Kluyveromyces lactis: one gene and its partner. The protein of the gene in region 1 binds, or shares a complex with, the protein of each later gene. Links are inferred from orthologs where the notes say so. Each region holds a gene or a part of one and is shown on either strand. Other genes may lie near its edges. The genes, in order: MBP1 and SWI6.

What was found.
Region 2: MBP1 (region 1) and SWI6 share a complex: the UniProt entries of both Saccharomyces cerevisiae proteins name them as parts of the transcription complex. The link is inferred for Kluyveromyces lactis from reciprocal best matches to the Saccharomyces cerevisiae genes MBP1 and SWI6.

Annotation. Positions count from the first base shown.
Region 1 is NC_006041.1:484,504-488,819, forward strand, and holds MBP1 (transcription factor MBP1), read left to right. Parts: upstream 1-1,415; coding exon 1,416-3,680; downstream 3,681-4,316. Other genes in the region: KLLA0_E05391g (uncharacterized protein), read left to right, coding at 1-871. UniProt on the Saccharomyces cerevisiae protein: Binds to MCB elements (Mlu I cell cycle box) found in the promoter of most DNA synthesis genes. Transcriptional activation by MBF has an important role in the transition from G1 to S phase.
Region 2 is NC_006039.1:142,880-147,169, forward strand, and holds SWI6 (transcriptional regulator SWI6), read left to right. Parts: upstream 1-1,427; coding exon 1,428-3,653; downstream 3,654-4,290. Other genes in the region: VTA1 (Vta1p), read right to left, coding at 241-1,155; TOS4 (Tos4p), read right to left, coding at 3,860-4,290. UniProt on the Saccharomyces cerevisiae protein: Part of a complex involved in cell-cycle-dependent transcription. SWI4 and SWI6 are required for formation of the cell-cycle box factor-DNA complex. The repeated element in the upstream region of HO (5'-CACGAAAA-3') is called the cell cycle box (CCB).

The DNA of each region.
Region 1 (4,316 bases):
CTACAATACCCATAAGTTGATTAAATCGAACGTGAACCATGGAGATGTCAGAAATCGTTGGTGCTTACCTTATGATTTTTCACAAATTTCCAATTTCAGAGATGTTGGTGGATACGTCACTACATCAGGTAAACAAGTTAAACCTGGTATTATGTACCGTTGTGCAAACCCCAATGAGGCCACACCCGCCGCTTTGGATTACATGAAATCTCATCTTTTCATAAATAGAGTTTTTGATCTGAGAGCTGTTAATGAAGCTACTGAAGGTGGGATTATCCCGAATTTCGAAGTTGAAAATCTATCGTTCAACAATAACATGACATTGAGTCCAGAAGAAATGGCTAAACATTATCAAGGTATGTTTTTGTCTTCTTACAATTTCCCTCAGGCGTATGAGATTGTTTTAGAGAACAGTCTCCCAGTTATTCGTCGTTTTTTCGAATACATACTTGAGGGAAACGTCGATGAAAAACATGCGATTGTTTTTCATTGCAGTGCTGGAAAGGATAGGACCGGGATTTTGGGTATGTTGATATTAGGGTTGGCGGGTGTTGACGCTGACACCATTTCTCACGATTATGAATTAACTAAACTCGGATTGACTACCGAGAAAAGATTAATCCAAAGAATCACCGGACGTGGTGACAAATTCTACACAATTCTGGGCCCCCACGGTCATGAAATAGCTTCTGCTTGGGGTGTTTCTCCAAAGGAAATGGCAGCCAATGTGCTATCTTCAAAATATGAAGCAATGCGTCTATTCATTGACGCATTCTTGTTGAAATTCGGCTCTTTTGAACTGTTTTTCTTAGAGCAACTGAAGTTTACTGAGAAAGAAGTGGAAAAGATTAAAATCGAACTTACTATTTAAATAGAAAATATATTTAATTATGAGCTTAATGCGTTTGATATGAATGTTGACTATTTTCTGTCTCTCCCAACCAAGAGCCAGCCTTATACGCTCAAAGAGCATCCAGTTACCGTTTTAATTTGAATGTCCGGGTAACATTTTGAGTTGTTGTGTTGAAGTTGGTACGTTTTTTTTGGTTGATGAATTAAGAACCATCGAAAATAATGCAAGTTATTGTTTATATATTGCATATGATAAGTACCTAAAGGTACAAAACAGTCAAAATATAAACCAAGAGAAAGACGATCTTCACACCTTGAATATCCATACAAGGTTTGATTGGAAATTCATTGAGTTTTTTTCGAGTTTGCTGACATTTACTGGACATACCCGCCATTACCAGTCGCTATATTTCGGGGGTATAGTCAGTCGAAGACCAGCATACTGTCAAACTGAATTGGGGACTAAGATATATCATATCGATTTTTGGAACCAAATTTGATCTTACACATAGCACGGGTGCAAGATATTGCATCAATTTTTTTACAAGGATAAAGTTAATACCATGTCATCCAATCAAATATATTCTGCGAAGTACTCTGGCGTGGATGTCTATGAGTTTATACACCCGACTGGGTCAATAATGAAGAGAAAGGCAGATAATTGGGTGAATGCCACTCATATATTGAAGGCTGCAAAGTTTCCAAAGGCTAAAAGGACAAGGATATTGGAAAAAGAAGTCATAACAGATACCCACGAAAAGGTTCAAGGTGGTTTCGGTAAATACCAAGGTACGTGGATTCCCTTAGAGCTAGCCTCGAAGTTGGCTGAGAAGTTCGAAGTATTAGATGAGCTTAAACCTTTATTTGACTTTACACAACAAGAAGGCTCTGCTTCGCCGCCTCAGGCTCCTAAACATCACCATGCTTCCAGAAGTGACTCTACCAGAAAAAAGGCTACAAAAAGCGCATCTGTACCTTCTGGAAAGGTATCCGAAAAAGCGAGCTCCCAACAGCAGCAGCCTGTATCTCAACAGCAGCAGCAGCAACCTGGTTCTGCACCAAAAAGGCGGGGTCGTCCTCCTCGGAATAAAGCGACTGTAACATTACAAAGATCACAAAGTGAGATGGTTTTTCCAAAACCTTCAATTCCATCATCTTCTATCCAGAGCACAAAGTTACCTAGTCTACAGCCTCAGTTTGGCAGATCAGCGACTAGTTTGTCCCCGATTATGGATGTAAAATCTCCGCTGGATCAAGCTTCTCCCCAATTTAAGGAATTAGATATCGAAGACGGACTTTCCAGTGATGTAGAACCTAATTCTATTATGGGCACAAAACATGAGGATAACACACACTTAATGAACACAAAGGATGAGCCTGTATCTTCTTCTTCCTCTTTACCGTCTTCCCCAAGTGAATTCTCTCAAAGTGTTGCATTTGGCTCGAGATCTAACATGCAAACTCCCCTACAATTAAATGGTACGACTTCAATGAATATGATATTACCAAAATTTTCCTCATCTCAAAACGGACCATCTGATTCAAACCAAAGAGCAAACGAATACCTATCAAAATTGGTGAATTATTTCATATCTAATGATACCCAAAACGAATCGGAAATACCGATGGAGCTTTTGAATCCTCCTTTACATTGTTCGCCGTTTATTGATACGTGGATTGACCCCGAACATCATACAGCCTTTCATTGGGCATGTGCGATGGGTACGTTACCCATTGTAGAGGCACTACTAAAAGCAGGAAGTTCCATCAGATCGTTGAATAACGTAGGAGAAACGCCACTAATAAGATCTTCAATTTTTCACAATTGTTATACCAAACGGACGTATCCGCAGATCTTTGAGATTTTGAAGGATACTGTATTTGACCTGGATGCCAAATCAAGAAACGTCATTCACCGGATCGTTAGCAGAAAGAGTCATACCCCTTCTGCAGTCTATTATTTAGACGTTGTACTATCAAAAATTAAAGACTTTACGCCACAATATAGGATTGACGTATTAATAAATCAACAAGACAATGACGGAAATTCACCCTTACACTATGCTGCAACGAACAAGGATGATCAGTTTTATCAACTTCTTCTCCAAAATGGCGCACTTACCACCGTTCAAAATAATAGCGGAATGACACCTAATGGAATCATTAGTGGCCGTTATTCGATGGATGAAATAACAAAAGGGCAAAGGCTGGATGATCCGTATGAATTCAACAAAATGTATCCTTCTCAGGCTGCAACTAGAACAAATAGAATTATCCCAGAGGTAATAAATATGATGAAAGAAATGGCAAACTCTTATCAGAATGCATATCAGAAAAGACAAAACGAAGTTCTTCAGATGGAACGGACAGTAAAGAGCATGAAGAAAACCATAACATCTGTCGAAATGAAACTTTTAGAAGCTTTAAATTTGAAGGAAACTGACAATGTTGACATAGTACTCAATGATAGGAAGGAAAAAATTGATGAACTACAACGGAGAATTGCCACAGACAAGCGCGTGCTAATCAACAGGTTAGAAGAAGGACAAGTAAAACTGATACGAAAGTTTGTTGATGAAGAAACAAAAAATGTCGAAGGTAAGACTACTGACGGTGAGGAGTCTGAAGATATAGAAGCACTTTTGAAGGAATTAGTTCTTATTCAATTAAAACGAAAACGAAAACTTAATCAAATTATTGACGTGATAACAGACAACTCTAAAGTTTACAAATATAGGAAAATGATATCTCAAGGAACTGACATTGACGTTTCTGATGTTGACGAATGTTTAGATGTGATATATCAAACATTAAGCAAGGAAGGTTAGTTGTATAATTCGTATTCGATCGTCATGTACACAATGACTACTTTCTTCATGATGTAGCATTGTATTAATTAAACATAAGAGTACTCAACAAACCATGTTGAATCATCTCTACAACTCTTACCCGATTATATTCATTATAAATGGATTGTACATATCAGTTTGTTAACTTACATATGGGCTACCATAAATATAATAATATTAGAGTTTTAGTTATCTGAAAGTCTGTAAGGTGTAACGCTGAAGATATCATCCGTAGTTTTCTGAACACATTATCCAGTAATGTAAAAACAAAGAAAGAACGCGATCTTGCAATGTTGAAATAAATGTGACTTTTATTGTCTTTCTGTGGAACTTAATCTATTGACTAACTCATTGCAATTGTTTGGTGTTGTTGTTTTTTTATTTGTGATTCATGAGAGCGGAAGCTTTGATTTTATTATATATTATATCTTGGTTGGTGATGGAAGAAATGAGTCCAACTGAAATGAAGGCGGAGAAACACAAAATATAATGGTCCAATTCGCTTAAACTCAAATTATTAATGTTACGATGGGGATAGTCCGAACTAAGAAGACAAAACTGAAAGCAATTAAAACATAACAAACGGACATATAAACCAACTCAATAGATAATAGA
Region 2 (4,290 bases), on another chromosome or scaffold:
ATTTACAAGTATTAGAGACATGTGGATCTAACTTTAAAGAGAATTCTACATTTACATGTATAATGGCGTATATATAGACCAATTGATACAAAACAGTGAAAGGAAACTGATCGAAACATTAAAATTGAGGGCTGCTAATTGAGTTAATAATGATATAGATGCAAATACGATAATTATAGAATCTCTGACATTGTTCATAACTGAGGCAAAAATGCAGAAATGATCAGACGCATTGGAATATTATTCAGGCGTCAAGTCTTCAAGCAACTTAAAAGCTTGCAGTAACTCGGCTTTTGCAGTTACTATGTCGTCATAGTTTAGAGCGCTTATTGCATACTTAGCACTTCGTTGTGCTTTTTGAATCCTGTGCTCCCTTGACATTATTTCTTTCAAAGTAGCAACATCATGTCTCACTGCCGGTTTAGGTGATTCTAATTTGATCGGTTCTGGCGTTAGCAACTTTATTGGAACTTCTGGCGACTCAAGCTGCTTTAACTTCTCAACGGATTCATCTACCTTCAAAGAGGGAGACGGACCATGCTGCTGTGCTATTTCCGAATCTTTTGGCTCTTCGAATAGCGGCTGATCCTCTAGATCCTCGACAAAATTTGGGATTTCATCTTCCACTTCGCTTAGTGGGTTACTATTTGTAGGTTCTGATGTGGTTTCTTGGGGCTTCTTGTCGCTTTGTAATTGTCCCCTTTTCAATTTCATAAGATAGTATTTGGAATGTTTGATCCTTTTATCGCATTGCTCTTTTACAATGGCATCCATACTATCCGCCCATATATGTTTACAGCATTGAAACAAATCTATACAGCACCATAGCCCCTTTCCTATATCGTCATTAATCCTATCATCTTGTATTTGTACTAAGATTCCGTTATAGATTGACATCGCAAGATTTAACACAAAAGCCAATGCTTTGTCTTTTTCATTCAACAGGATCTTAGTACCTTCATCATTCACCTCATTTTTAAAGCTCTCTACATCGTCTAATAATGACATGACCAACTCTGTCGCTTCCCCGTCTCGCTCCTTCTCATTCAATATTAGCTCTGCCGCATATAGTTTTAAGTAGTAAGATATAACAGGAAGAGTTGACAATTCTTTAGAGAGTTTAATGACTCTCTTGTACTGCGCTACATTGCTCATAATGTATCAAGTATAGTGAACGAAAGTCTTTTGGGCTGTATGAGCACGTCTCAGTCCCCTGGATACCTCATTCATTCCCTATCCCAATATGTCGATATTATGATAATATAATATACAAACGCCAAATGGAGAAAATTTATTGATTTTTGAATGTTAACCAAATTATGAACATCGTACTAATTTCACAATTGAGAACTCTAAACAACGAACAACGTTGACTGTACTAGTAATTGTTCTGGGATCCTTCACAATTTAACGGTATAAAGTGGACGATGAGCAGGCCTATTTTTAAGGTGCATAAGGGAGACCGTATTACTTTCCAGCAGCGACTTCAAGACGGATATGTCTGTCTGGACCAATTTATCCCTTTGTTGACCAACTTATCAAGTTTCAATTTCCATCGCGATGACCCATTGGTTGAGAATCTCGATGATATGGTCACTTCTCAATTCAATATACTTATAGACACTGATAGGTCTGGCACCCGATGGATCACTTTACAAAAAGCACATGAGTTATGGGATTTGCTGCAAATTAAAGATGATTCTGGTTCGGAAAATTTGACGGACCATGACGATGATAATGAAGCTAATCACAATGGCGTTGAAGACGATGGTCAGAAGACTCCTGAGAATAATGGTAGAAAGACGGACAACCACACAATGGAGAATGGTGGTACTGAAAATACAAATAACGGAAACAACAGCTCGAATAAAAATGATGGGAATGTTACTGCCGAAGGAAGTAATTTCAGGCCTGCAACAATTACAAATGGAACCACTTCTAGAATCAGTGGTGGTGAGCCAGACACTGTTAAACATGAGCTTCTAGATCTTCCCGATTCTCCTACGAAGAGGCATCAAACCAAATCTGTTTCAAAGATCCCGGTTTTCCAACATGATTTACCTACGGTCTCTACGTTACAGAAAACTCTGCCTCCAGTTAGTAATTACTCAAATGATGAACGTGCGAAGTTAGAGACCTTACTTCAGCGTATTCTTTTCCCCGAAACTACGAATTTGAACGTTGCAGAAGGTTACCCATCGGTCAGCTTAACCCAGCAGGTACAAGAACTGGACACACAATTCCCAAACGTTCCACTAAATTTTAACATCCCAATTGATGAACATGGAAACACTTCCTTGCATTGGCTGTGTTCCATAGCCAATCTAGACCTTCTCAAACAGCTCATTGTCTTTGGCAGTGATAGAAGAATCGGCGATAAGTCCGGTGAATCAGTGCTTGTAAAATCTGTGAAGTCGGTAAACAATTACGATTCTGGTACATTCGAGATACTGTTGGACTACTTGTACCCTTGTATCGTAATGGTTGATGACATGGATAGAACCGTTCTTCATCATATTGTGATTACTTCTGGTATGCCTGGTTGTAATGCAGCGGCTAAGTATTACCTCGATATTTTGATGGGTTGGATAGTTAAAAAGCAAAGCAGAACTAAAGAATCGCATTGCGTGCTACTAGAAGATATCGATCTTCAATGGGTTATCACTCATTTACTCAATGCTAGAGATTCTAATGGTGATACCTGTTTAAATATTGCCGCCAGGCTTGGAAACGTTGCCATTGTCGAAGCATTGTTGGATTATGGTGCTGATCCTAATATTGCAAACAATTCCGGATTGTGCCCTGTGGATTTTGGTGCAGGTACTCAACCCCGTTTTCAATCGAATACAAAAAATCTTATGGCCACACCTACCAAAACTCATGAAACTTCGTTGGATCCGATGGCTGAGTCTACATCGTTAATCACAAATATAAAATCACTCCTCTCAAAAATATCGAATGATTATGGTGATGAAATTAAACAACATAATGGGAAGATGAAGGAGCTCCTCGATACACTCAACATAAAGAGAGAAGCGTTGGCTAATGCACGGGATAGATTGGCTAAGGCAAAGCAAATCCAAGATGAATATAATCTGTTGTCCGACAGACTGAACAATGTGGAAAACACTATCGCTGAAGAAGATCAAAATTTCCAACTTGCTTCTAGAGAATTAGGACTATCACTGGATGATGTCCAAGAAGAAGGTCTGAACTCAGCCGATATTGCATTCGATGCTGATGAGCCTTTCAGAATCTCTTACGTTTACACAAAGTTTGAGGAAAAGATCAAAGACGAATATAACAATGATTTTGAACTATTCCTCAAACATTGCAATTTATCACAACTTGTTCATGAAATATACGATAACTTCCCTTCCAGAGCAGAAATCCCACATCCCAAAATTCTTAAAGCAAGAATCAAAGCGTACAATAGAAACGAATTGCATTTAGACTCAACTTTACAGACTATCAAAGACAAGCAGAAGAATTTAGAATCTAAATTCAGAAAAGTCTTGTCTCTCTGCTTGAAGATAGATGAAGAGAAGGTTGACTCAATGCTTGACGGTCTTTTGCAAGCTATATCTAATGAAGATCCTGAAGATATAGATACAGACGAGGTGAACAACTTTTTAGAGAGTGCCGCCGAATAAATACCAATTGATGGTAACCTATTTGGAAATAACTCTTGTTGTACTTTTATTTCTAACTAAACAGTTTACGCAAGCTGTTGTAATTTTAGTGGACTTTTACCTATAAAATACGATGAACCTTTTTTTTCTATTACATTTATTGCCTATGTATATATTTGTTTCTTCGACGCCTTGTGTTAAAAAGCAAGTCGAGCAGAATTTTTAGATTATTTAGTTGGTTTCTTCCAGAAATACTGTTTATGCACTCTCCTGCATGATCTTAAACCAGATCTGCCACCCTTGAGTGATGCTACCAGCTGTCTTCTGTCATCGTCAGGATCATTTTCTGCATCATAGTAGTATTCTTCATCCAGTGGCTTTCCTGCGGCATCTTTTCCTGTACGGTAAATTACTCCGATACATTGTTCGTCATTCAAAATAGCGCGCAGTTCTGTGCGGCTTAACTTCGAGACAACAGAGTTAACATCCTGCAATTGAAAGAGTGGCACTTGTTGAATGTTAGAGAATGCTAAGTGATTGGACAATACATGCTGTAATTCTTTGTAATCTACCCCCCTTGTAGTCAAAGAGGAAAGAGTTTGTTCTTTTGAAGCTTCATCACTGTCAATTTGCTTTCTTGATTTCTTTTTGGATTTCT